4 linked regions of the Diceros bicornis minor genome follow. The protein of the gene in region 1 binds, or shares a complex with, the protein of each later gene. Links are inferred from orthologs where the notes say so. Each region holds a gene or a part of one and is shown on either strand. Other genes may lie near its edges. The genes, in order: GNAI1, HRH3, RGS1 and HCAR1.

Evidence for each region.
Region 2: the proteins of GNAI1 (region 1) and HRH3 are in contact, whole or in part, in a cryo-EM structure (PDB 8YUU), measured with the Homo sapiens proteins. The link is inferred for Diceros bicornis minor from reciprocal best matches to the Homo sapiens genes GNAI1 and HRH3. Residues at the interface, in NP_002060.4 of Homo sapiens: Ala31, Arg32, Glu33, Val34, Leu194, Thr219, Lys314, Asp315, Glu318, Ile319, Tyr320, Thr321, Thr340, Asp341, Ile343, Ile344, Asn347, Leu348, Lys349, Asp350, Cys351, Gly352, Leu353, Phe354; in NP_009163.2 of Homo sapiens: Asn69, Asp131, Arg132, Ser135, Val136, Ala139, Val140, Ser141, Tyr142, Arg143, Ala144, Gln146, Ile221, Ile225, Arg228, Arg232, Phe344, Thr345, Phe348, Arg349, Arg352, Asp353, Lys355, Val356, Ser359, Leu360, His416, His417.
Region 3: the proteins of GNAI1 (region 1) and RGS1 are in contact, whole or in part, in a crystal structure (PDB 2GTP), measured with the Homo sapiens proteins. The link is inferred for Diceros bicornis minor from reciprocal best matches to the Homo sapiens genes GNAI1 and RGS1. Residues at the interface, in NP_002060.4 of Homo sapiens: Val179, Lys180, Thr181, Thr182, Gly183, Ile184, Val185, Gln204, Ser206, Glu207, Lys209, Lys210, His213, Ala235, Glu236, Asp237, Glu238; in NP_002913.3 of Homo sapiens: Ser105, Glu106, Phe107, Ser108, Glu110, Asn111, Ser143, Asp144, Ala145, Ala146, Gln148, Ile149, Asn150, Ile151, Asp152, Phe153, Arg156, Leu181, Lys184, Asp185, Ser186, Arg189.
Region 4: the proteins of GNAI1 (region 1) and HCAR1 are in contact, whole or in part, in a cryo-EM structure (PDB 9IZD), measured with the Homo sapiens proteins. The link is inferred for Diceros bicornis minor from reciprocal best matches to the Homo sapiens genes GNAI1 and HCAR1. Residues at the interface, in NP_002060.4 of Homo sapiens: Glu28, Arg32, Leu194, Asp315, Thr316, Glu318, Tyr320, Phe336, Thr340, Asp341, Ile343, Ile344, Lys345, Asn347, Leu348, Asp350, Cys351, Gly352, Leu353, Phe354; in NP_115943.1 of Homo sapiens: Lys48, Ser50, Thr51, Leu54, Arg113, Lys116, Val117, Pro120, His121, Asn125, Thr126, Ser128, Leu203, Arg206, Gln208, Leu209, Gln212, Arg214, Met215, Lys217, Ala218, Phe221, Ile222, Ser281, Ser282, Pro283.

The regions. Positions count from the first base shown.
Region 1 is NC_080742.1:17,728,165-17,735,186, reverse strand, and holds the start of GNAI1 (guanine nucleotide-binding protein G(i) subunit alpha-1), read right to left. Parts: upstream 3,019-7,022; 5' UTR 2,739-3,018; coding exon 2,621-2,738; intron 1-2,620. UniProt on the Homo sapiens protein: Guanine nucleotide-binding proteins (G proteins) function as transducers downstream of G protein-coupled receptors (GPCRs) in numerous signaling cascades.
Region 2 is NC_080758.1:1,872,991-1,880,040, reverse strand, and holds the start of HRH3 (histamine H3 receptor), read right to left. Parts: upstream 3,006-7,050; coding exon 2,756-3,005; intron 1,720-2,755; coding exon 1,553-1,719; intron 375-1,552; coding exon 1-374. UniProt on the Homo sapiens protein: The H3 subclass of histamine receptors could mediate the histamine signals in CNS and peripheral nervous system. Signals through the inhibition of adenylate cyclase and displays high constitutive activity (spontaneous activity in the absence of agonist).
Region 3 is NC_080777.1:22,037,404-22,045,008, reverse strand, and holds the start of RGS1 (regulator of G-protein signaling 1), read right to left. Parts: upstream 3,020-7,605; 5' UTR 2,104-3,019; coding exon 1,967-2,103; intron 1,599-1,966; coding exon 1,518-1,598; intron 1,099-1,517; coding exon 1,037-1,098; intron 1-1,036. UniProt on the Homo sapiens protein: Regulates G protein-coupled receptor signaling cascades, including signaling downstream of the N-formylpeptide chemoattractant receptors and leukotriene receptors. Inhibits B cell chemotaxis toward CXCL12.
Region 4 is NC_080774.1:7,532,585-7,538,689, reverse strand, and holds HCAR1 (hydroxycarboxylic acid receptor 1), read right to left. Parts: upstream 1,495-6,105; coding exon 517-1,494; downstream 1-516. UniProt on the Homo sapiens protein: Acts as a receptor for L-lactate and mediates its anti-lipolytic effect through a G(i)-protein-mediated pathway.

The sequences.
Region 1 (7,022 bases):
GATACCCACTACCCAAAGCTTTTTACTAATAATGTGTGTTTCATACCTGAATCTTTCAACCCAGATGTCTAAAAAGACAATACAGGCCGTAAGGAAAAATGCAATATAATGAACTATTTAATATATGTCTTAAATATATTTTAGAGGCTTTTTGCCTTAAATGAAAAAAAAAATCATGTGATGAGAAAAACAAAATAATAGAAGAGGTAGAAGACCTGATGTAAATGGAAGTGACCCTCGTTACAGATTACCTGGAAACCATTTTATATTCCTAGTTGATTCGGTTGCCGTGTTTTATATGGAACGATTCCACTGACTTGCTTATATATATGACGTTAAACATCCAGAAAAGAACCAAAGGTCAACACTTCCCGCTAAAGTCAAATCAGGGGAAAAAGAAATGTTTTCAAACATTTCAAGAATTATGATTTCCTAAATAAGTAAGCCAGTATTCTGTTTATAGGAACTAGGGTGCTAGAATTCTGGGCAAAAGGGTAGAGTTCAGTGGGAGTAAGACAGACACTGAGGGGAAGGAGGAGGAGTGCTGGGCCCACAAGCCAGGAATGCGGCAGAATCTCCACACAGAGAAGAGATGCAGGGAAAAGACTCAAGCCAGAGAAGACAGCAGACGGAACTCAGTTACCTAAAGATTTCAAAAATCATTTAGAAATCTTTCTGACATTACTGGCACAGAGAAACAAAAATTCCGCAATTTCTTCTGAAAATCACGACTCTGCTACACTTTCTCATAACTCTCTCTTATAGTTGGCTATAGAGATGCAACTTTTGGTTCTTCATTACACATTCAACTATATTTACTTATTAATCTAGAACAGTGGTTCTCGCAGAGGTTAATTTTTGCCCCCACAGGACATCTGGGGATATATGAAGACATTTTCAAGGGTCACAGGTTGAGGGGGCTACAACGGGTATCTAATGGGTAGAGGCCAAAGACATGCTCCCATCCTACAATGCACAAGACAGCCTGCACCACAAAGAAGCATCCTACCCAAAATGCCAACAGTGCTAAGACTGAGAAACACCGATCTCTTCTGAGTAGAAGCAAAACCCAACTTCCTGGACCTTTATCCCAGTCCGTCTCTCTCTAACAGACATCTAGTTAAAGCATAAAATAACACCAGAGGGTTCATTTTTCAACTGCTTTAAACATGGTGGACGGCTGGCTCAAACTAAGAGTCACACTACAATACACTGAAATAATATATCAGAGCAGGAGTGCAGAAACTGCAGGAAAATAACTTTTTAATCATTTTTTTTGCATTTTTGCCTCAAGTACATTCAATTCATAAGAGGAGCATCTACATGTTTCCATACCAAGGTGTGTCTCTTTTATGTTCAATACACTAAAAATACACTCCCCTCGTCAAAATAGGGTATTTCTTATTAATGTAAAAACTTAAGCAAACAGTATTAACTGAGAAAGATTAATGTTGGGGGTGGGGGTGAAGAAAGCCAGCCAGGTCTTTAAAATGCAAAGTTATTTCACAGTTCGCTCGAAAAATGACTCAGATCATTATTACTTTTAGTCACGCCAAGTTTCTGCTTCTAAGCCTACTAGTAACGGAGGAAAAAAACCACCATTTTTCCTGCAGTCATTAAACTAATGAAACAGAAGCTTGTGCAATATTTGCCTTTTATTATAACTGTTATAAAATTAAAAGCAACCGCTGAGAGTGCAAATTAAGATTGTAAGAAACCTTTCATCTACTTAAATACTATAGGGTGGGGGGGGGAAACAAGCAAACAAAAGAAAACCCTAACTCATACAACTACAAATCTTAGGCTGTGAATATTTCCTAATGTATCCCTCAGTCAAAACCCTGGCTCACTCTTTTTATGTTCTCTCCTTTCAAACAACTGGAAAAGACCTTCACACAGCGTTTCACTAAGAGAACAATGCTAAGAACAAATGAAAGCCTTGGCGAGTACCTGGCCAACCTCATCCATCCGAAAGTGAGGCGGCCAGGAGTGCCGTCTTCGGCGTGACCCTCTCGCACCTTTCCCATCGGCTTTCTCCGCTCGAGCATCTCACTAGAGCAAATGTTACCAACTCTGGTGGTTTCCGGGACCCCACAGTAACAGAAATGGAGCACCCAGCATAGCCTACTTTCTCACGGGGGGTCAATGCAATCAGTGCTCCCTTCACACTGACCGAGTCGCCGGTGGAGACACGCTGCAAGCCACGGAGGCCCCGCAGAAGGTGCGCTGACTTCACAAAGCCTGGCGCTCCTGCCCGTGGGGAACCACAACCGCGAGAGCGCACCTTGTAGGAAGGGTGGGGGGCTCTTACTGTGCGGGTGCCCTTCATCCTCACACGGCGGAGCTAACTCCAAAGAAAAGGGCTTCCTCGAGATCCACTCCTCGGCCCTCGGGGGTCCACACCAGCGCGAGCGAGGGAAGCGAAGCTCCCGCCCACCGCGGGGAGTCCTCCCCGGCCGAGGAGGGGGGACGAGGACCGGACACGCTCCCTCGGACACCATCTCGGGCACTACCACACGCGCCATCGGCGGCCGGGACACGTCCCCCGGGTTTCCGCACGCCCCGGAGTCCGCGCCCGCCCCCGCCGCCCCCCGGGCCCCGGGCCGGCGCCGGCCCTTACCGAGCAGCAGCAGCTTGACCTCGCGCGCCGCCTTCTCGCCGTCCTCGCGCAGATTGCGGTCGATCATCTTACTGCGCTCCACCGCCGCCTTGTCCTCGGCGCTCAGCGTGCAGCCCATCGTGCCCGAGCGAGAGCGCGGCGCCCTCCGGCCGTGCAGTCCCCAACGCAGGTGAGCGCTTCCTCTCCGGACGCGGGCGATCCACCCTCCCGGCGCCGGCCACCTCCGCCGCCCCTCCTGACCGGCTGGGAAGGCGCTGTCCACAAAGGGGCCGCACACCGCGCTGCTCCCCACGGCCGCTCCGCTCCCGGTGCCCCTCGGTGCCCCACAAGTCCGGGTGTCGGGGTTCTGGCAACAGCTACCGCCGCCTCCTGCCGCTGGCCGCGCCGCAGCCTCCAGAAGCCCAGGGAGCTGGCGTCCGCGCGCCGCCGCCGCCCCGCCCCGCGACCACTCCCGGAGCGCGCTCCCGCCCCCTGTGGCCCCGCCCCGCTCCGCCCCGCCCCCGGGCCCCCACCGAGGCCTCGCCCCTCCCACCATCCTCGCCCCGCCCACCCGCCCCCGGAGACCACTCCCACAGCGCGCTCCCGCCCCCCGCGGCTCCGCCCGCCCCCTCCGCCGGTCCCACCATCCCGGCCCCGCGACCACTCCCGGAGCGCGCTCCCGCGCACGTGTCCTCGGACAGCGGCCCCTTCAACGGGCGCGCGCCCCCGCGCGGAGGGCGGCCACCCGGGCGTCGCGCGCCCCTTGGAAGCGCCCTCGAAACCCGGAGCTGCCCAACGAGCCCCCCCATCTCGCTGCCTTCGCGGGCGCGGATAATTTCTCCGGGTTTGCTCGCACCGAGGGAGCTGTGCGGACCTGCCCCTTCGGGCTGCGGGTGGGAGAGCTGCCAAAGTTGGAAGGGGAAAAAAGCCCGTCCTGGGCGTCTGAGCATGCCCAGCGCCGGCAGCAGCGCGAGGGTTTCCGAAACGCAAAGCCCAGTCGGCCGGCCTCCTGGGCTGTGGAAAATAGAGGGAGCTGGGGAGGGAACGGAGCCGTGGCGAAAGCAGAGCTGGGGATACGGGGGAATAGAAAAGTCTGCGGAGGAGGATAGGAGGTCAGCTTCCTCCCTTCCGTGTTCCTTTCCTTCCTTTCCTCCTTCCATCCATTCTCACGTTTCTTTTCACAAGCAGAGCACATTTGGAAGGATTTCCTCACGACCTGAGAAAATGTGAGACAAAGAATCAACGAGTGTATTTTAAAATGACAAGAGCTATAAAACACACCCACACAAACAAATCTGCTCTCCTCTGGGGCGGCATGTAAGCTTCCGAGCCGAGTTTGAACCGATATTTATGACCATGTGAGTAAATCATAAGCCACTGGGCACGTCATTCCTTCTTGCAGGCCTTAGCTTCCTTGCCCAGAAAATGAGGAGTTGATCCACACCATCACTCCATCCTCCCAGCTGTAATGGTCTGGGGGAGATCAGCTCCTGGGGCCTGCTGAGGCATTCTGCTCAGCATCCAATTAGTGAGCATAGGTTTAAGTTCTGGTCTGTTCCTGCCATTGTCACTGCGCACTGCACCTTTCCCTTACATACATCTCAGGAAATGTTGTTTGCGTAGAACATGGGCTTGGTAGCAAAGAAAAATATCTTCTTTGATGTATTAAAATTTAGGAAATTGGTCTTTGGTTTGCATCTGGAAGTCTTATTTTCTAAAAGCCATTGGTAAAACTGGGCTTGAGTTTTCCAGTGTGAGGCTGAGCTGATGCTACAGTCAGAATAGCTTTAGAGCGGGTCACGTAGGCCAGGCCTGTGGGCAAGCAGAGACTGTCAGTGTCCTCCCTACTGGACGTGCCCTTTCCTGTTCTCCTACAAAGCTGCTGGGCTCAAGGGATGCCATTTCAAGAACTGCCTCAACTGTTCATAATATAACAACAAGAAGGAGCAAGCCTTAAAGTGTACTTAGTCACCTTCTACCCTCTTTGTATTTCTTGGCACTCTAAATGATAATGTTCCTCAGAAACTCTGGAATTAAACTTGATGGAGTGAACTTTCAACATAGTGTTTGTGTATTAGCCATTTTGGATTATCTGTTATTGTCTTTCCTATAAGCTTCAGGCCATATAGAGTGTGGGACCTACAATGACAGGAAAAGAGGAAGCAATCATAACTGAGTACTGGTGGAAATGATAAAAAATTTGTGTTTTAAAGAAAAGAAATTATAACAGAATTATACACATTACCCCTCTCATTTGAGAAGCTTATCAAGTAGGTGAGGAGGCAAAATATAATACATGGATGAATAAGAACTGAAAAGAGTTCTGTGAATAAGAACATAGCTTTATATGAAGCTAAACTTCTGAGAGGAGGCATAGGAATGGAGCGATCAGTATGAGGGGAAATTCGGAGAGAAGAAAGTTTTGAAAAACCTTTTGAAGGAAGAAGAAAGCCATGACTGGGGATCTTTGTGGAATTCCAAGGGGTATGTATTGGTCAGCTTGGGCTGCTGTAACAAAATACCATAGACTGTTTGGCTTAAACAACAGGAATTTCTTTCTCACAGTTGTGGAGGCTGGGAAGTCCAACATCAAAATACCAGCCAATTCATTTCCCCAGTGAATACTCTCCTCCTGGCTTTCAGATGGCCACCTTCTTGCTGTGCCCTCACATGTGGAGAGAAAGTGCTCTAGTCTCATTTCCTCTTCTTATAAGGACACTAATCCCATCATGGGGGCCCCACCCCCATAACCTTATCCAAACCTAATTACCTCCCAAAGGCTCCACCTCAAAATAGCCTTATATTGGAGTTAGGGCTTCAACATATGAATTTGGGGGGGACACAAGCATTCAGTCCATAATAGGATATATTTTGTTTGAGAGGAATAACCAGCTAAAAGGGTTAATGTGTAATGTACATGTTAGAGAAAGCAGTTGTTTTGTCATTGAAATGTAGTTTGGCTGCGAAGAATGATAGGAAGTGTGGGACAAAGTTGAAAGAGAGCTTTAAATATTAAGGTGAAGAGTTGGACTTTATACAATGGGTACTAAGTGTTCCTTACGTTCTCCTGAATTGGGTAATAGGTATTTAAAAAAAAAATCTCTTACCCAACAAAACAAGTGAGTTACCAGCAAGTAGATTGTCTTAGTAATACCGTATGAGGTGGCAAGAGTCATTCAAATTAATAATTTACATAATTATGATGTTGCAAAATGTGATTCAACAATCTTGTCAAGGAGGTAGAGCAGATATATTAACTCATCAATGTTGTAGAGAATGAAATTGAAATACAGAGGTTAAAGCAATCTACTTCAAAGTACTGTTTTCCCTTCTGGACATCATATTTTTTAAACAACTATATTGAGATGTAATTCACACACCATATAATTTATCCATTTAAAGTGTACAATTCGGTGGCTTTTAGTATATTCACAGAGTTGTACAACCATCATGACACTCAATTCTAGAACATTTTCATCACCCCAAAAAGAAACCCTGTACTCCATAGCCATTATCCTCCAATCTTTCCACCACCCCCGCCTCATCCCCTCAAGTCCTGGTCAACTACGAATCTACTTGCTGTCTCTACAGATTTGCCCATTCTGGACATTTTATATAAAAGGAACCATATAGTATGTGGTCTTTTGTGACTGGCTTCTTTCACTTAGCATAAGGTTTTCAAGGTTCATCCATGCTGTAGCATGTATCAGTACTTCACTTCTTTTTATTGCTGAATTATACTGAGCATCATATGTTAAGAAAATTAGAGACATGTTAAAAGACAAATTGGGACACATTCAGCTGAGAGCATCTAAATCTTAAAGTAACTCCAAACTGTGTCATAAGAAATAATTGAAGAAACTGGGGATACAAATGAGAAGGTACAAAGAGACATGATAGCTATTTCCAAATGACTGAAGAGATATTGTAAATCAGAGGGAATAGACATTTTCTGTGTGGATTCAAGTGGTAGATTTAGAAGTAGTGGAAGAAAGCTATAGCAAGAAATTTTATCATGATGTGAGAAAAAATAGTGTACAATTCCCCACAAAGGAAATAGCGCACCTCAGAAACTCACACATTCTTAACTAAGATGTAACAATCTAGACTAGATGGTCGCATATTGGGAAAGATTTAGATATAGAAGAACTTTTAGGATCCCTTCCAACCGTGAGATTCTGTATTATTCAGAAGTCAAATGGGATTAGTGTAAGAACTGAGATTAAAATTAAGAAACTGCTGGCCTCCAACCTTTTCCCCACTCATCCTGCCATCAGAAAAACAAGCAAAAGTGGGAAAGGAGAGTTTATCTGAGATGTGTTGGCTTGGTATGTTGATGGATTAGTGTGGGGAGAAGAGGGAACCATAGAAGAAGACAGAGTCAGGACAACCTGACATGTATACACACACAGAAAGAGAGAGA
Region 2 (7,050 bases), on another chromosome or scaffold:
TGCCAGCAGCCCCAGCAGCCTGGCACGGCTGGTGGTGGGGACGGCTGGGCCTCGGGCGCGGGCTCAGGGTCGGCCGTCTCGCGGGCCCCGTCCAGCCGGACGCGAGTGCGCCTTTGGATGTTCAGGTAGATGCTGAGGTTGAAGAAGGTGACGCTGAGGAAGGGCGTGAAGAACTCGAGCGTGGAGGCAGTGATGAGGAAGTACCAGTTGTAGAAGAACTCGGCATAGCAGTGGCCCTCGGGGATGGAGCTGCCACCGGACAGATACTCCCAGCTCAGGATGGCCGGCCCATACAGCAGGAAGGCCAGCACCCACACCAGCACCATTTTCCGCACCGCCCGCCTCGTGTTGCCCTGCTGGGCCCGGTAGGAGACCTGCGGTGGGACACGCTAGGTCAGGAGGGAAGGGGACTGAGCCCAGGCCGGCAGGCTGCTGCCTACTGTGGCAGGAATATTGGCCTGGGGGCTCCTCGGCAGCCTCTAGGCCTCTGTGCACTGCCTTCCTTCACAGCGATGCCTTTTCCTTCTCCTCCCCACCCTCTCTCCCCTCTGTGCCATGCATCTTGGGCTGGCTGATGCCCTGTCACATTCTCCTATAGCCTCAGAACCTGCTCCAGACCAATCTGAATGCTAACTTTGTGCCAGGCTGCCTGTTTAGCACCCCCACCAGCTGTGCGCTCCCGGGGGGGTGTCTTGTCATGGTCCCCTGTCTACTGAGTACCCACTGTGCACCAGGCTCTGTGCTCAGCACCTTTTGGATATCATCTCACTTAATCCTCAACAACTCCGTCATTATCCCCACTTTCCCGATGGCTCAGGGAGGGAGGGAGAGACCACAGGAAAATCCGCTCCAGGGGACAGAGCTGAGGTTTGACCCAAGTCTGTCTGACCCCGACCTATGCTCTCTGCACTCTGTCCCACAACCCCTCTAGACTGGGACACATGTGGCACCCCCAGCAGAGGGCCCTGGGGTGCCCGATAAGCCATCAAAGAGAAGATGAGAAGGCAAAGGAGAGACCTCCGTGCCAGTGCAGCTGTGTGCCCGCACGGCACTGACGCAGGAAGCTCAGGTCCCTAACTCATGGTGGCCACTCACACCAAGCGAAGCCTGTGAAGCCAGGAGCCAACACCTGTCTTCCAGGGGCGCAGACATGAGCGCACACGCGCGTGCGTGCACGCGCGCACACACACACACACACACACACCCCTGTGGTGGGGAAGCACCAAGGACCTCTGACCCAGATCCTCCCTCGGCTCCAGGGACTTTGGACCTGCCCCAGGGTGGAAGCTGAAGTGACCCCCTTCCTTCAGGAACACCTGATGCCGGGTCCAGACTGTGCCTCCTGTGTGTCCCAGGATCAGTCCTACCCGCAGCAAATGGCTACTGAGTGGGCAGCCAGCCATAGAGCACCTGGTGTGTCAGGTGTGAGGTCAGCAGGGACCAAGCCCACCTGGCACCACCTACAACTAGGAAGGGGGCAACCTTTGCCTGGTGCCTCCTGTGGTCCCCCTTCCTCCAGGAGTGAATGTGGACACCCTCATCCCAGACTCACGGCGCGAGTGACCGACAGGAAGCGGTCGTAGCTGATGAGCACGATGTTGAAGACGGAGGAGGTGCAGAGCAGATAGTCCACCACCAGCCACAGCTTGCAGACGCCCCGGCCAAAGGGCCAGCGGCCAGTCAGCACATAGGGCACGTACAGTGGGATGCAGAAGGCCCCTGTGGGAGAGTAGGGCATGGTGGGCCAAGGCTCGACAAGGGCCTGGGGTCAGACCCACCACAGTGGAGAGACAGGCAGGACCTGGGAGTCACATGGTGGCCACCTTTCTGGGACCAGCAGCCTTCACCTTACCCACCCCTCCACTTGATCCCCTCAGCACACCTTCTACCCTGCACTTGCCTTCAACCCCTGCCCAGCCCCCAGTCCCACTGGAGTCCCCTGGACTTGGGCGCAGGAGGGAAGCTCCAGGCATGGGCAGGCACCATGACACCCCGAGCCTTAATTTGGTACTTCCCAGGCTTTGTTCAGCCTTCCCAGTCCCCAAAGGGAGGAAGAAGGAACATCTCCTCCCCTCTCTGGCCTGCTGGACCCCTGCGCCTCCCCTGGCCTTTGGACAGCTCTTCCTCATCAGCTCAGAAAGCGAGAAAGCCTTTCTCCTGACTCAAAAGGCGCTTGGCCGCCGCCCCGCCAGCCGCTCCCACCGCCAAGCCCGGCTCACAGCGCTGGCAGACGCACTTCGCAGCCCCAACAGGTGTCTGGCGCTCCGGCCCCCTACGCGCCCCGCCCCCAGCTGGCAGCAGCGCACGGACACGTGAGAGCGCGCTCCTAGAAGCATCTCCCCACGCCTTCCCCGGTCCCCTCCCTCAACACTCTAAAAACCCCCTTCCACGTCCCCTCCCCCAAATCTCCCCCCAGCGCCCTCCGCGCGTCCTGAATCCGCCGCAGCCTTTGTTTGGCTACAACGCAGGAGCCAGCGCTGCACCCGCAGCCGCTGCGCCTTGCGCCTCGCCGAGCGCCTGCCGGCGCAGGCCCCTTCCCGGGGAACATCCCTCCCCAGCACCAGTCCCACAGGCAGGGAGGCAAGGAACTTCGCCAGCGCCCACCGCCCCACGATTCCTGGACGCCTCCTCCCCAGGCCGGGCCCCCTGACGGGGCGTGTGCCCGAGCGAAAGGCACCCTAGGTCCGAGCTCCAGTCCCCACTGGCCGGGCGGGGCTGGGCGCTCCTGCGCTCGGGCGGCGACTGGGGGCTTTACCCACGAGGAAGTCGGAAATGGCGAGGTTGAGCAGAAAGAAGTTGTTCTGGGTGCGGAGGCTCGAGTCGGCCACGAAGGCGAGCATGACTAGCGCGTTGCCCAGCACCGTGGCCACGATGAGCAGCGCCATGAGCGCGGCCAGTACCGCGGTCCAGGCAGCGGAGAAGCCGCGCGCCCCGCCCGCCGCCGCCGCCTCGCCCGCCAGCGCCTCCGACGCGTTCAGCGGCCCGTCGGGCGGCGAGCGCTCCATGGCCCCGCCGGCTCACGCGGCGCCGAAGCGCAGGGCAGGGCGCGGACCGCCGGCCAGTCGTCCGGGAGGGGCCCCGGCCCGGGAGCCTGGTCTTTGCGGGCTCTCAGCCCGGCCGGGATCCCCGGGCGGTGCCCGGCGCATGGTCCGTGGGCGCCGAGGCCGGGGCAGGGGCCGGGGCGGGCGGCACCGAGGGGGCCCGGGCCGGAATCCGAGCCGAATGGGGCCAGAGGCACGACCACTGCAGCCCGAGCGGACCCGGAGCCGAGCCCGACCCGGAGCCGCCGCCAGAGCGTCGGCGCGCCCCAGTGCAGCGCGCAGCCGAGTGCGCCCCGCGCCCAGCCCGCCGCCCCCCGCGCCCCGCGCAGCGCCCCCGCCATTGGCTGCCGCCCTCGCCCCGCCCCCGCCCCGCCCTCGTCCCGCCCGGCGCCGGCAGCACCACGGACAGCGCCGCGTGCCCGCCCGGCCGCTGGAGCCCCAACCCCGTGCGCACGGCTGCTGGCGGGGAGCCCGGCCCCGGCAGGGCGGGCGCCGCGCTGGGGGCTCGCCTGCGGTCGGCCGGCCCGCGCACACAGGAGCCGGCCTCTGGGCCGCTCGGACTGTCCCGTGCCCTCAGGCCCGCTGACTCCTGGCAGGCCTCCGTCCGGATCCGGCGCACCTGCAAGGACCTGGAGTGGGGGCGGAGGAAATACCTGCGCCCGCGCGCGGGGAACCTGCCCCGCGGGACCCGCCTTGTTTCGCGCTCGGGCAAGCGGGTCTTGGGGGAGGGAACGTCCCAAGGAGGAAGGATGGGAGGGGTCTCCCAGAGCGCGTGCGCTGGCCAGGGGTCCACGCCACCCCCACGTGCATGGGACTCTGGGTCTCAGTCTCCCCGTGGGCCCAGCGCAGGGTCCAGGGTGACTTGCAAGGCGCAGACAGATGTGGAGTTACATAAGGGAAGATGGGGAGCCAGTGGACCCAGCCAGGAGAGGAGCGCTTCCACCTGGGGCTCAGGCGGCCGCAGGCTGAGGACGGAGCAGCCAGCGACTCGGAGCCCGGCCAAGATTCCCCCTGGTGGACAGAGCGGTGAGGCGGTCGCTGCTGCAGGGACAGACGAGGTCACTGTGATCGGAGCACAGCGAAGGCGGCGGCAGCGGCATTAGCGCCTGCGGGTATGGAGGAGGAGAGGCGGCAGGAGGGAGAGCCCCCTCCCCCCAGACACACGCTCAGATAGACAGGGTCAAGGACAGATTCAGCAGGAGACACTCACGGCGAGACAGACAGACACGCCCACACGCAGACACACAGACACCTACAGACCAGGGAAACAGCCGCCCAGCTAGGGATCCACGAATGGCAGTTAGACACCCATCAGACAGCAGACAGCGAGGGAACAGTGCCTGAGGGAGAGGGAAGCAGTGACTCTCTGCTCTGTCGCCAGCGGCGCACATCTGCAGAAGCCTCAAAGAGGATGGGAACATGAGTATCTGCGTGTGGGGGTGGGGGCTGCGAGGCTGCCGGGAGGAGAGGAGGGGTGGCAGACGGCCCCCGAGGCACTGGCATGCACGGGCACCCCCACACTTATAGCAGCTGTCTGATCATGCCAGGACCCACCCCTTCCCCTAGCCCCAAGAGGTGCTTCACAAACTTTGGGGAGTGGGGGCTGGGCTCCCTCTACTGCCTCCTCAGGGTTGCTTGCAGGGAGGAGACCCCAGATCCTGCCCCAGCAGACACTCTTTCACGGCTTCTCGCAGCCTGTGCTGGGGGATGGGTGGGGGGCTCCAGCTCATCCTCCCAGAAGCTCTTCCTGAGTACTTGGCTACACTCCTCCTCTCCACCAGTAAGCCCTGCTCCTCTTACAGGCTCCCCCAGCTTCCCCTCACTGCACCCCAACGTGCCTGGTGGGCAGGGCTGTGCCAGGACCAGGCAGCTGGTTGATGGTGAGACAAGCCGGGGTGGAGAGTTCCTGGAGGGGCAACAAGGTGCTGCTCCCATCGTCCGCGACTTCCTGAGCCTCTGGTGCTGAGTTAGCACTCATGGACCCCTGCTCAGCCAGCAGCTGCCTGCTGAGTGGAGCCCCCAGGCCCTGCTCCTCCCCAACTCCCCGGAGGCCAGCTCTGGCCAGACAGTGCTGCAGGGGTGCTCCCCTGCCCCCGGGCCTTGGGAGATGGAGTTGGATAGGGGTTGAGAGGGGGGCTCTGACTCTTTCAATCACTGGCTGGGAGCCCCCTCCCCAGTCTCAGGATCCCCACTTTGGAATGGAGACTGTGTGCTGCTTACTGTCAGGGTAGAGGGCTGAGTCAGGGGGGAGTCTGTGTAGAGGGCGGCCCCTTTACAGTCTCAGTCAAGCCTAGCCACAGTTGTCCTTGTGGCTATCAGTGTTCTGGGGCTTTCCTTGGTGGTCTCTCACCCACAGCTGGGGGGAGAGATGGACTCAGTTCAGACCTGGGCACCGGGGGCCCAGCTGTGTGCCTCGGGGGAGTTACCAAATTTCTCTGAGCGTGGAGATCTTCCTCTGTGAAGGGAGGCCACCAGGAGAGGGAGGGCCAGGATTGGCCCAGAGGTTTGAGGATGACCATGGCCAAGGGTGGTGAGCACCCCCCATCTGCACTTAGATGCATGACCTCATTAGCTCCCCACTCCCCCTACAAGGAGAGTAGAACCAGTAGCCCCTGTCCAGAGCGGGGAAGCCACCTACCTGCCCCAGGTCACACAAGGCCAGATGCTGTTCTCTTAATGGCTACACTCCTGGCCCTGAGATCAAGGGCCCTGAGGCGAGCAAACGTACCAACTCTTAGAGCATTGACCTAGTCTGGACAGGAGCCTGGTGTCCTCTGGGCTGGACCTAACTTGGCCAAGGCAATTCGGAGTGAATAAGGCAGGTCCCCATGTGGCTGTCCACAGGGCATCTTGCCCTGGGGGCTCTGACCCAAGGACTGGGTATTCAGGCCCCAGGATGGCTGGGAACCCTCCAAGACGCTGGGAAAAGCTGGCTAAGGGTTGGGGGACAAGGGCAAACCCCTACTCTCGGCTCACCCAGACTCCCTCAAAGAGAGTGGCCTGGGACCCTGGTTTCTTCATTTGTCAAAACAGCCGGCATCTGGGGTGCAAATTGTCTAGTCCAACAAGGAAGCCATTGGGCAAATGCCCCATCCACACAAACCGTAGCCAGATTAGCCAAACCAGACCCCCTGCAAACCTTCCCTAGGAGATGGCTCCCCTACTGACTCATCAATTGATTGGTTCATTTGTCCATTCAACAAGGTTTTATTAAGCACCTAAATTCAGGCTCTCTGCTAAGTCGTTTTAGTGTAGGGAGGCAAGTGTAACGCAGTAAGTAACGCACACGTCAGAGGTTACAAGTGCTCTGGAGAGAAATGAAGCAAGGCAGGGGACGGGGAGTGCCAGGGCACGAGGCCCAGGGGGCCGTGGGGTGTAAGGGGGTGCAGTGAGCTGACAGCCCCCAGTGGCAGTGCCTTTGGGGTCTGCTGCTGTGTTGCAGCTGAGACGAGGGACACATCTTTCCAGTGGGCAGAGCTTCAAGCACCTGGTCATGCCCTTTGTGTGGACGGAAAAGTGGCCCAGTTGAGAATATCTATGGATTCAGGGGCAGTGGCCAATGTCCTGGTGGGCTGGTCAGGGGCCTGGAAGGAACAGGATGGAGGTGGAGACAAGGGGCTCTGGGCTGGACCACATGGATGGACATGTGACTATGGGCACCAGCATGAAGGTTTTTGTGTCACACACAAACACCCACCAGGAAGCATCCACTAGGAAGAGGTGACAGCAAGCCCCTGTCATTGGCCACCCATAACTGGCATGACAGCACAAATGAAGTGGTCTCGCCAGAGGTCACGCATGGACCAGGAGCGTGGACTCCCCCCTGCAGAGGCTGATCTGGCCACTGCCACCTCTGAGTGTCTGACCCACCACCGACTTAGACCAATGCTGAGCCCCCAGTTTGGCACCTTCCCTGAGGAGAACAAATCACCACCTGGTGGTGAGTTGACTACATTGGGCTGTGTGGATGGTCCTCACATACCTGCTTAGGTGTGGGCTTGCCTCATCT
Region 3 (7,605 bases), on another chromosome or scaffold:
TTGACAAAGGGCATTAACATCATGTTAATCACTAACAAATATAATTTCCCCATTCAATTCATGTTAGTCAGAAAATGTGAGACCTATATATGACCTATGTGTTATGTACTGATTATATTTGCTAGTGTTACAGAGACTTTTAAATGGGCCATTTCTATTCCATTTATCTGTTTGGCTGAATTATAAACTAAGTCAGATAATAAGACGGATGAACCAGGCTGAACTTCCTCATCTCCAAGCAAGGTTCCTTCAGGTGTTTGTGGGGAGAAGAAGATAAGCTCACCCCCTAGATAGAGACAAGCTGCTCATCTACACCTCTGAACCAGGTCCTGATCCCAATAGAATTGCAGTGCCTGTGATGAGGGTAAGGCAAGCTGATTTCATTCTTTACCTTCTCTCATCAGAAACTCCCCACAAGACTCTGTGTTTAAAAATGCTTTTTATCATATCTGTGTTATTACATGTCATGTTATATATAATGCAATTATGTACTGTGTGTCTCAATCACCTGCAAGACAGTAAGGTGGCAAGGAGCTGTGTCTTGGCTTTTGAATCCTTGGTGCTTCTGAAACGCATGCCACAGAAAAGTGGGCTGAATGAGTGAGTTCATGAATGTATGGAGGATAAAACCATTAACTGACTGAATGAATCCTCCTCCTTACATCCAACATACAAAAAGACATTCTTTAGGTAGCTTTCAGAATAGCAGTTCACATGTTGAGATGTTTGGTTTACTTTTAAAAACTTCAGATTTCAGAACCCCAGTGTAATTTTTAATTTCGCTCCTATAATGATCCGTGGAAACACTGAATTGTCCTGGCAAATTTGTCTAGAGGACAGTGGGAGAGCTGAGTGTTAAGTCAACATTACACCACAATGAGGCATAATGTGCTGAAGCTCTCAGCGACTACAGAAAAACTGGAATACAACTTTTCACACACTCTACTATCCAGAATACTATGTTTGAATGAAGCCATTCAATCTGTTAGTGTATCGAGCTAAACTCCTAAACATTCAATAGTTCATCTATGCTTACTTTGGTTGGCAAGAAGTTTTTCCAGAGACTGAGACCATTGCATTACTTCATCAGCAGAGAGTCTGTAGGGGACAAAATTTACCTAAATTAGTAAAATATTTTTTTGTGTAAGCACAAATGGTATTAGAATGGCTGCTATACTGTGATAACTTCACAAACTAAGACTCTAGTTCTAATAAATTTTATTAAAATTTGGCCAAATGAAAACAAAATTTCCCTTAGAATTACTGTAGTTACGAAAATATCTGCCAATAAAATGTGAAAAAATCCAGATACATATACTGCAACAGTATGGTAAATAGCAAATACATGCACACACGTTTGTATGTAATTTACATTGGTACTAATGTAATCTAATCTTATTAGGCTTGTTATTTAAAAAAAATGAAGTCCATTAAGTGCAATAGAATTTCCTGCTAGAATATAGAGCTAAAGCATAGGCCACTTTTATAATGATCATTCGGAGTATTAGCGTACATACATGTCCTTAGACTTGGAAGGTTTCATTCCAGATTCCAGATGTGGGATCATAGATCTCAAGTATGCTTTCACATCCATTCCACTATAAAAGACACAAAAGTAAATATTCATATTTCCTCGGTAGAATACATTTTATTTGAAAAAGAAAAGAGCATGAAATAAACTTCTCCAAGGAATAAGACAATAATAAAAATAGTTGATACAACATTTTGCTCTGTTAAGATTGAGCCCATTTTTATGGGCCAAAGTCTGGAAAAGTTCTCACCTAATTTGTTGCCCAATCATGATTCATTTTTTAATACAACTGTATATACTTATAACTCAGAACAGATAATTGCTCTGATCTGGCCAAACTAAATGCTCATATTTTCTTCTACTCATTCTCAATCCTTCTGCCATTAAAGATAATCTAAGTCAAAATTCACAAAATGAGGCACTGAAGGAACTTACAAAGTCTTTGCCCTCCTTTTTTGCGTCTTGTCGTCTAGAAGTGAGTGATCAGTTCCTTTCAAGTCCTTTGGATTGGCAGAGAAGAACATTCCTGGCATTTTGTCTAACCTTGGCGTGGGGACGGCTGCTGCTCGCATCGTCCTCGCAAGGCAAGTGTCTGCTAGCCGCCGTCTCTGCTGCTTTATATAGTAAATGCTCCTGCTGTTCAAACTGAGTCTGTTTATCAAGTGATATTGCCACAGACGCTGGAAGTTCCCCCTTTCTTGGTGTATTGTGACGTGTATCTTGAAAAAAAAAAGCCTACAGTGATGTTTTGTGGTTGAAACCTAACCGAATGAGACTAGGTCACTTGATTTGAAAGAAAGGAAGAGAATTAAACATACAGAGACACACACATATACATCACATGTCTACAGCATTAGCAGCATGCTTCTTTCCTTCTAGGTGATGCTTGTTTTTTCATAAAATTGCATATTTCAATAAAATGTTTCATTTGGTGGATATATTGTATCACAAAGAAACTCAATATTAGAGATGTATTGAGTGTAAAGAAATATTTTTTTGTTTATTTGTGCATATATCTGGTAGGAAGGAGAGTTATGAGAGGTTATCTTAACTTTTCCCCACTCCAACCTTCATCCCTTATTTCCACGGCAAGATATTTTCATGTTAGTATTTCCCAAGGTGTGTGCTAGACATTCAACTGGTGGTATATAAGCTGATTTTAAGGGGCGCATGGATTTTAATATTTATTAGGAGTGTAACTAATATATCAAACTGTGATTTTTCTGTATATTACTGCTGGGGATAAGAATAAAGTAAAATTAAAACGAAACTATAAGCAAATAAAAGTATAGTTATCACAAAAATATGACATATATGTAAATATACTGATACTAAAGAGTTGCACAGTATCAGAGGAAAAACTGCTCAAGGTAAAATAACAGTATATTTGGTCAGGCCAATAGTGTGTACTTCTTAGGTGATGATCTCCCAAATTTCGGCGGTATCTCTGGAGAGATATTGTCTAGCTCTAATGAAGATTAGGGATTAAAAATACCCCCAAGGAATTAGATGCCTAATCACTGATCAGGGCAGAGGAATTAGTGCAATATAAGCTCTTATGAAGTTTAATATAGAGTGTGGTTTGTTTACAGAGTGTCCAGTTTAACTTAAACCTCCTTTGGTTTTTGCCCCTGAAAAGATAAAACAAATTTTACTTAGAGAGGCTCCTGATGGTGTTAGGTAAAGCTGACAAAAGGGAAGGGAGTATTACTTTTCCTATCTTGGTTCTATCATCAAGATAAAAAATATTTGGAGGAATCACATTTATAGTATTTCAAAATTCACTTTCTACACAGTCATGAACATATATTGTATGTCTATTGTAGGAAGCATCACTTGATGTTCAAAAATTAACATAATTCATTTAGAAAGAGAACTAGTGGGGGCCGGCCCGGTGGGGCAGCGGTTAAGTGCGTGCGCTCTGCTTCGGCAGCCTGGGGTTCGCAGGTTTGGATCCCAGGCAAGCACCGAGGCACCGCTTGTTAAGCCATGCTGTGGCGGCGTGCCATATAAAGTAGAGGACGATGGGCATGGATGTTAGCCCAGGGCCAATCTTCCTCAGCAAAAAAGAGGAGGATTGGCATCGGATGTTAGCTTAGGGCTGGTATTCCTCACACACACAAAAAAATAAATAAAAGAAAGAAAAAGAACTAGTGAGATGAACCAGCCACTTTGGCAGTGACCCAAACAAAAATGACAGGGCTCAAAAACTGATGACATAAAAGCATTTGTTTGTGTATTTCTTGTGGTTCAGTCCATACTTACTTATCTGTTAAGATCTTCCTGCTCATGTTTGTTTATCTAGTCTTCTCTCGTTCCTCTAGATAATTGTGGGTAAATTATGTCAGAGAAAAATGATTTAAAGTTTATTTTTAGTGGCCCACTATTACTAATATCCAAACATCCTGACAATTTCCAAAGTATCTTTCAGCAACAATAGTTCCTTTGGATGTTAATAAGCATAATAAAGACTACAACAGCAACAGTTGCAAAGCTTACGGGGCCACATTAGTGTAGCAAATACTGGGTTAAAGTTAAATAAAGTTCTTAAATTGATCAATGCAGATATTCTGAGAGCTTTTAATAAGTTAATGCACATTTGTTAGTCTCTAAAAGGAGGGTAGAATATGCAGCAGTTTCCTAACAGTTTTTTTTATAATTTTTATTTATTTATTTATTTATTTCCCGCAAAGCCCCAGTAGATAATTGTATGTCATAGTTGCACATCCCTCTAGTTGCTGTATGTGGGACGCGGCCTCAGCATGGCCGGAGAAGTGGTGCGTCGGTGCCTGCCCGGGATCCGAACCCCGGCCGCCAGCAGTGGAGCGCGAGCACCCAACCGCCAAGCCACGGGGCCGGCCCTTCCTAACAGTTTTGAAAACTGAACCCTCATTAGGTAGGAAAAATAGTTTGCAGAAATAACGTTCTCTTGACACGACATTTAGGAAACTCCAGTCTGAGATAAAAATCAATATTCGCATCATATACATTAATACTTCCTTTAAATCTCCAACATTTTGCTACCTCAATATAGACTTGGAAGCTTAAGCATTTGCAAGCAGTTATAACTGCATGCTTCCAAGCCTAAATAGAGAATTAAACTCCTGATAGAGGGGGTCCATCTGAAATTTCTATATCACAATTGGCTGTTGAAGCTACCTCCGTGGCATAGTAATGGAGCTGCTGTCTCAAAGGATGCTTGCTAGCACATGCCAAGCCAAGACGCGCCAGGGCCAGGCAAATCTGGCGAAGCTGTGCCAGCAACGGCTGATGAGTCCATGGCAGGGCCTTGAAAGTTCCCTATTAATTGCACAGAGAGCATCACTGTCTGGCCCCTCTTTGTAAAACTCATTAAGAAAAGACAAGTGATCAAATAGTAACTTTACTGAATCAATGACTTTGGTTGAAATTGTAGAAGATTTGATAAAAACTAATAGAAGAAACAGTGGCTCTCACAAACATAATCTTGTTTGTGTATTTCCTCTGAATTGTGCCTAAGTAACTAGGTTGGAGTCCTAAGAAAAGGAGGACTTCATGCAGTCTTAGTGTCATCTTTTTTTAAAAAAAAAAAATAATAGACTTCCTTTTTAGAGCAGTTTTAAGTTTACAGCAAAATTGAGTGGAAAGTACAGAGTTCTCACATACTGCCTCTGACCCCACAGCCTTCACCACCATGAACATCCCGCATTAGTGTGGTATATTTGTGGTATATATTGATGATGAACCTGCATTGACACATCATTATCACCCAAAGTCCTTAGTTGACATTATGGTTCACTCGTGTTGTACATTCTGTGGGTTTTGATGAATGTATATTGACATATATCCACCATCAGAGTATTATAAACAATAGTTTCCCTGCCCTAAGAATCCTAGTGTTATCTTTTAAAATGTCTAGGAGATTGGATCAATAAAACATTTCAGATTATGGCTATCAATTTTGATGGGAAAATTTTAATCTTTGCTAAGTTGATTTTACGTTCTGGTTCCCATCACTCCAATGCCTGAGTCCTAGTAGGGACTGCTTTGTTGAATGACTTTTTCAAGCTTGATATTGATTAAGCTGATGTTAAGCCTCTATAAGATTGCTGAAATTTTGTTGTGGACATTAGGAATTATGGGAAAAAGGACAATAATGAGTACAAGATTGCATCTTAAAAGTAAAAATATATCTATACTGCTAAGAGTCGGTGACATGAACAGAAATGTTGATCCATTGAAAGAAAATGTCTTGACTGAACAAACTTTAATCTCAGTCCTACAATGTATCAGGCACAGGTACTGCAAATAGAAAGCGGAATGAGTCTCTGTCCTAGGGAGTTCACAGTAGAGAAGGGCAGACAGGTATTTAAGCAAGTAATCAAAGTGAAAAGTGCCATCGGAGAGGAATGTACAGAGGAGCGATTAACTCTGGAAGCTGGAACAGAAGAAAAGGACTGTTGCCACTTACTACACAATCAACATGTACTTATTCTCTGCCTGTTTCTGCATTCGAGATCAACACCCACTGGAAAGTACAAAACACCGCAATGGAGAAATTGGTCTTCAGCCAGTAGACACCTCTTACATGTATAAAGATCATGGAAGAATGGATCCTATATGTAAACACAGAGCCTTGCAGAGTTTAAAAGGGGCTCTGAAAGACTTTGTTGAATTAGCATAACCACTCAATGGTTAGGGGGTTAAGACAAAGGCTCACTCTGACAGCTTCCAGCCTTATAGTAAGGCTACCAATTGTGTTTCAGTTACATTTCATAGAGGTTATTTGAAAAGCTTCAACAAAGATGAATTTGGAGGGATTTTTCTCTATGTCCAGGTAGAGTATTGCTGGGGACATTGATGCCTACTTTATATCATTTATGAATAAGAGGATTAAACATTTTAAACTTGTTTATAATCTTATTTTCTAAATGAAGAAATCAGCTGATCAATTTTAAAGAGAAGATATTTGCAACTTGGTGAAATTCAATGACCTCAGTAAATGCAAACTGAGCAAGATAAGAATCTAGTTTCTTTTTCTCACCCAGTTCTAATCAACTTATAGTCAACACTGAACATCTCCTTTCTATATTTTAAGAGATTATGAGAAAATTGAATGTGGGACCTTCAGTGAACTGGGCTCCTGGGATTCTATAAACCTCACTCACCCTAGATCTCATCTTACCAGTAAAGCTCTCATTAATAAGCCCATATTCCAAGTCATTCTGAAAGTACTAAAAAATCTTTGATTAATATTATCTCTGATGTACTTCCTCCACAGTGGATTTGTTTACATTTACTATCACTCTATGATTTATAATCATTTCAACAAGGGAGAGTAGTCACGTCAAAATCTATTTGACTATGCTTTGCAAATAAAATTTAGCAAATATCTAAGTGTCTTAGTCCCAAGTTCAAATAAATGGAAAACTATGCTATAAGAACATTGACACATTATTTGCAGTTGGACTGGAACATTCTGTTACATAACACAGGACATAAATGCAAAAACAAAGATACTCGAAGGTCAACATGGAGAGACAATTTGTAAAGGAAAGTATATTTTTATTATTAGGAAGCAACATCAATAAATGACTAATAGTCTAGTCAAATTTCTAATAGTGTTAACTTTCCTTTTACTGTACATTAAAGTGGTTGACAACAGTGATTTATTTGCTTTGTTTTTTCCCCATTAATTATGTGATTTTCCTAGGAAAATCTACCAAGGTTGCCTGACGTGTTCTGGTCTTTCCAAAGCCATGCAATTTATTTCTCATGACTACAGTATCTGCACTTTCTCTGTGTCTTTTCCAATGTTTTGTTTTTGTGTTTATTTATGTATTTATTATATTTATTTTTTTTTACCGAGTATTGATGTTAGACCTGGACATTTATATAATAAATATCATACTCTCAAAATAAGTCATACTCTACCTGCTTGTATAAGCACATTGAAGTCAAAAGAGAGTGGCTGCTCTAAGCATGATTCTACTCTTGTTGTGGATACAAGCAGTCTGTTGTGTTCCACTCTTTCCTGTGCCTGCTCTGTCCTCTTTGAATAGGCTTGGTTTATTATCCTACACTTCTTCTATTTT
Region 4 (6,105 bases), on another chromosome or scaffold:
TCACTCAGACTGAAATAAAAGTATTGACTTACTTCAGTTTCTATTTCCCAAGATAAGTAACAATTTAAGGTCAGAAGACAGGAAATACTGGTAAGTCATTAAGTTCACTAACTCCCTCAGAGAGAGCACAGGACTAGTTTAAACATTGGTACCTATTCACTCAGCCATTTAAAATTACACAGGAGCCCAGCTCTTCCTAACCCCCTGCCCAACACACACATGCCCCATTACATGCATATATTGTCCCTTGTCATTGTAATCAGATCATATATATGCAACCGACTCACATCTCAACTGGGACCTTCCAAAAAAGCGTAGTAACCCGAATTTCATTTCCAACAGTGAGGAAGATACAGCTAAGAAAGGGTGGCATTTTCAAAGCCCCCTACCCCTTAGCATGAAGTATTTCTAAGTCGTCCATCTGTCCTCCTTGATTTTGTCTGTTTGTCTGTTTTAGTGCCATTCAACACATGCGGAGATGCCACTGGACATCGGGTTGGCTTTGGAAGCTATTTGTTACACTGATGCAATTCTTGCGACAGAGGTTGGAATTGGCGTCCCTTCTGGCCTCCGTGTCTTGGAGCCTCCCGGACGTTTGGGTCTCAGACCGCTGATTTTGAGCTTGGAGTAGAATTTGGGGAACGAAGGACTTGAAAAGTAATACACCAGGGGGTCCAGCATGCTGTTCATGTAGGTGAAGCTGAGGGTAACGTGGAGGGCTACGTGAACAGACGGATCGCAAGCGCTCGTGGGCACCGTCCAGAGGAAATACAGTCTGGCCGACACGCTGGGCAGGTAGCATATGATGAACACAACGGCCACCACCGTGATGAACCGGGTGGCCTTCTTCATCCGAGTCTGCCTGGCCAGCTGCTGCCTCTGCTTCAGGCTCCAGATAATCTTGAAGGAGCAAAATAAGATGATGCCAAGGGGCAGGAAGAACTCCAGCTGGAACATGACGTCGTGCCAGCCATTGGCTGACTCCATGATGAAGCTCTCACAAGATATGGTCTCCTTTTGCACACACAGATGGTTCTCCATCAAAAGATGCAGAGTGCCCAGGATGACCATGGTCCAAAGGGCACAGACGATGCCAGCCGCAGTCCGGTTGGAGATGGTGTTCACCATATGGTGGGGGTGGACCACTTTGAAATACCTGTCCACAGCCACCACCGTAAGGAAGACGATGCTCCCAGCCCTGTTCATGGCCAGCATGAAGAGCGCCACCCGACAGGGAATATCCTCAAAGGCCCAGCGTCTGTGTCTGTGGTAGTAGTCTGTCCGAAAGGGCAGGCAGATCATGAGAAGAAAGTCGGCCACGGCCAAGTTGAAAAGGTAAATAGTGCTCGGCTTCCAGGTCTTCATGTGAAAGCAGAAACCACACAGGGCTATGCCATTGCCCAGGGCGCCGAGCACGAAGGCCAGGATCAGCAGTGGTGGCATCACCTGAGGGATGGAATCCCCCTCGATGACGCAGCATGACTCGTTGTCCATGGTGGACAGAGGGCAAGTGCTCTGTGTGCCAGGCTGTGGGGTCCCCACAAAGACACAGATGCTTATCTGACGCTACTGCTCGCCCGGCTGCTGTTTTTCCAACCTCTTCACTCTGGGACGCAGGGACCACACGTGTACGTGGATGCAGCCACTCCCAGGAGAACAGAAACCAGTGAGGAAACGAGAGATTCGGGGAAGTCCTTTCTCTGGAGCCTGGGTCACAAGCTGCTTGTGTCCCCGAGAGCCGAAGCCTGTAGCATCTCAAGGCTTTGAAATGCATGTAATTTCGGACAAGCGGTCATTTCGGGGAAGCGGCTGGCAGCTCTGATGAGATTCATGCTGGAGAGGAGTTGTGGGGTCCAGCCCCAGAATGGTTTTATTTTCAGCCTTATGCCTTCTCCTTAGACTCACTCTGTGCTGGAGAGCACACAAAGCTGCTCAGAAGGTACGAGAAAAGCTTGTTTGTTCTCCCTCCCGGTGGAGAAATACAAACACTTCCCGGGGCCGTTCTGGGCCTCTGCCTCTGCTTTCCTCCCTAACCTTTGCCTGACCGCTCTGTCCTCTCCCCCGTCCCAGGGGGCGCTCCCAGGCTGTGCCAGACGGGAGGCTTTGCTCTCCCGTCCTCAGAGCCATTTCCTGCGCCCACACCCAGAAATACAGCACTCAAACCTTGGAAGGGTCTGCGGAGGAAAAAAGCTCTGAAAACTGCACTTGTTGGTTGGTAAAAAAATTCCTTGAAGTGTGTTGCCTTTCCTCCCTCCATTTGCAACTCCGACCCTATGTACCCTTCCGTGGACCCAAGTGACCAGTTGCACAACCAGCAAGACCATGAAATGCATCTGAAGCCACTTCTCATGGATCTGTCTCTGTGAAACAGGAGCCAGCTCCTCCCTCTGCTGTTTGCAAAAGAGGATTTGGCTCTGAGTTTCCCACTGGCTGTTCAAAAAAGCCAAACACCATGATATATGTTTTTATTTTGATTTATTTATTTATTTATTTTTGTGAGGAAGATCAGCCCTGAGCTAACATCCATGCTAATCCTCCTCTTTTTGCTGAGAAAGACCAGCTCTGAGCTAACACCTATTGCCAATCCTCCTCCTTTTTCTCCCTAAAGCCCCAGTAGATAGTTGTATGTCATAGTTGCACATCCTTCTAGTTGCTGTATGTGGGACGCGGCCTCAGCATAGCCGGAGAAGGAGTGCGTCGGTGCGCGCCCGGGATCCGAACCCGGGCCACCAGCAGCGGAGCATGAGCACTTAATCACTAAGCCACGGGGCCAGCCCATGATATATGTTTTTAATTTTAATTAAAATCAATTAAATAAAATCAATTAATGCTGAGCCCACTGACGGGGGCAAATGAAGGTCAGGGCGGTTGGTCAAGGAGTCTATCTCTAAAATAATTGTAGGTAAAAATAGATTGCACCAATGATGGGAGTCTTTGCTAAAATTTCCTCTCCTTTGGCTTTAGAGCTGACCTATCTGCCCTGTGCCTTTCAGCTCCCAGCTGAGGAAACGGGTGGGGGAGGGAGTGCGTTGAAAGCATGCGGATGCCTTTTTCCAGATGCTGACTTAAGCTAAATTCTTCCCACTGAAGCCTGCACTCCAGATTAGCCCGACAACATCCCTCTCTGCCCTCACCCTAGCATGACCACTGTCACCTCCCACCTGTTGAAACTGTTGAAAGAGTTTCCTAACTGGTTTCCTTTCCTCTAGTCTATTCCCTGTAATTCCTCTCTCATTCCACAATGTGGTTTTTCTAAAGCACAGATATGATCATATCCTTTTTTCTCACTTAAAAACCTTCATTAGTTCTCTTCAATACCAAGGTGATAGACTAGATGGCCTGTGGGCCATATCTGGTTCAAAAACCAGTTTGGTTTAAAAACCTGGGACCATCCTATAAAAACCTGGATTTTCAGCATCTCTTGGGAAACTGAAGATCTGGCCGCACTGGGCCAACAATCCCACATAGTAACAATCAGCTGGAGCGGAGAGTAGCCGCCTCCTTTAGTCAGGGCAAGAACTCTCCATTTTGCCACAGTCCCCACAACTCCCTATTACATGGTCAGTTTCAAGCATTCACATGCCTGGTCTCTGTGGTATTTTGAGTTTGTCACCTCGGCTCTAGGTAAAGGTCACATTACTTGGATTGGTATACAAAGCCCTTCACAGGTGTTCCTAAACTACCTTTCCAATATCATTCTCCTGCCACTTTCCTCCTCACACCCTACTTGTTAGTCTCATAACTTCTAATAAATAAGCGTGTCCATCAGACATCTAAATTTAGCTCCCTCAATAATCCAAGAGGTCTTTGGAGACAAAGTCCATGTTCTTGCAGGAAGGACATAGAATAAGGATCTGAGTGACTAGCTTCTACTTTTCATGAGAGCTGATAGCAGACACTTTCACTCTGGGGGCCTCTGGGATTCTGTGAGAAGACGTGAACTAACAGGAGGTAACTAATGTGGGCTGTAACACTCCAGGGTGGGCAACACTCCAGGGTGTGTAACTCTGAATACCTTAATATGGTCAAGCTGGATTTTTCAACAAATACAAAATATTCTTGCTTCTGTGCTGGCAGATGCTGTTGAGATTCTTATAAACACAAGTGCTTCCCTTTTCCTGCGTGACAAACATCTGCTTTTCTTTTCCACACTCTTTCTGTCTTGTCAAATCACCTTCTCTCTCTCTTTGACTGTAGAATTAGCTGGAAGGCAGAGGATTAAGAAAGAAAAGATAGGTTTCTTTTTCTCTGAAGGTCTACTGTTGCATGTACGGGGGCAGGAGGTATGTGGGAAATCTCTGTACCTTCCCCTCAATTTTCCAGTGAACCTTAACTGCTCTAAGAAAAGTAGTCTTAAAAACAATGTTAAACCAAATTTTGTTACTGATCTTATTGTTACTGCTAGCTACTATTACAGTACCTAATGTAAAATAGAAGCTTTATTGATTTAAAAATGTTTATTCAGTGGACCTCCTAGGTGTTTTTGCTATATGCTTCAGGATCTCCCGAAAGAGGAAGGTATTATCTGCTGTTTGGAGCTCAGTGTTTAGTAGGGGAAATAAGACAAGTACGTAAATAACAATAAATAAAAGCAAATAGAATAAGTAGTTTAAGGTAATATTTTCCAAAATGTGGTAGATACACCACAGATGATAGGTGAGATTATTTTAGGTGATATAGAGTAATATACATATATATTTTGACTTTATAGCTATAACTTTATTTTAATATGTGTTTTAAAAAAATGCAACTGGTTCATTGGAGTTTTGTGCATGAGGGAGAGTTGTTAAAATTTCTAGGGGCAAAAATAGAAGGAACAGACATTCCAGACAAAATGAAGAGCATGGAAAAAGTAAGGCTGGAGGGGGCATCTGAGGAACCTTCGAGGAGTTTGGAATTTGGAGTCTATGTCATGGAACTGTAAGGAACAAGACAGGCATGTCCAGTGGGGCTGTTTTGCAGGGGACCTTGAATTCAGTGGCGGTTGGGAGCCATTTTTGAGTGAGTGGCATTGTAAAGCATTGGAGGAATAGTTGAAAAAGAGAGAAGGGAAGCAATAGGCTTTTGTTCCCCCTCCTCTGCTCTCTGCCTGCCCTCCAGTACTGCCCATTGTCAACCACAAATTCTGCGGGCTCAGAGTCCCTGTTTTCTCTTTCTAATGTGTTCCATGGTGAGCCATATGGGGGATATTATAGATATCCACATCAATATTATCACTTAAAAAAAGTTTCTCATCCTCTTCCTCAGATTGCACATCAGACAAAGGGAACTGTTAGCTCTATCCATCAAATAGCTTAAGCAGTAAGCTTCCTTCCTTCTCCTTCCTTGCTCACCACAATCCCCAATCTGTTGATCATATGCCCTAAATCTCTCTCCACCCGCAGTGCTACCACTTTGGCTGGTCCAAAGTTCTGGAGGAACACAACTGCCTCCCGATTGGTCCTCCTCCAATCCATCCTCCAAAGATCAAATCTGGTCGAATGCTCGAATAGCTCCCTCTTGTCCTTAGCAGGGAATTCGAGATGGCTGACAAGGCACCACGGGAACCGGCCTTGACACCTCCAACAAGAGCCATAACTATGTTTAGTATCCAAAGGCTGTCTTATAGGGACCACTGGGGGAACATCTCCTTCCCTCCTGGTCCTGGATAACTCCTCTTTTTTTGGCCTCAGCCTAGACCAGTATCTTCCAATAGAACTTCTACAATAATGGAAAAGTTCTGTAATATACATGTAGCTATTGAGCACTTGAAATAGGGCTAGTGGGAACTGATCTTTCAATATCTTTTAATTGTAATAATTTAAAATTTAAAAGCCACCTGTAGTTTGGGGCTACCACATAGGAAGCCCATGGGACACCACTTCTTCTAACCCCCAAGCCTTCTGTGAATTTCCCTCTCTAGTCTGGGTTAGACCTTCTTCTCTGCACCATTTCTGCCACCCCCGCACTTAGCATGCAGTATTGTAACGTGTCTGACCCCAGCCCCCATCTCTATGAAGACTAGCTCTGGGTCCAGTTCAGCTTTGCACGCCCAGAACATAGCCCAACGCCTGACACCAAGGGGACACCCAGTAAATATGTCCTGAATAAGTAAATGAACAAGTG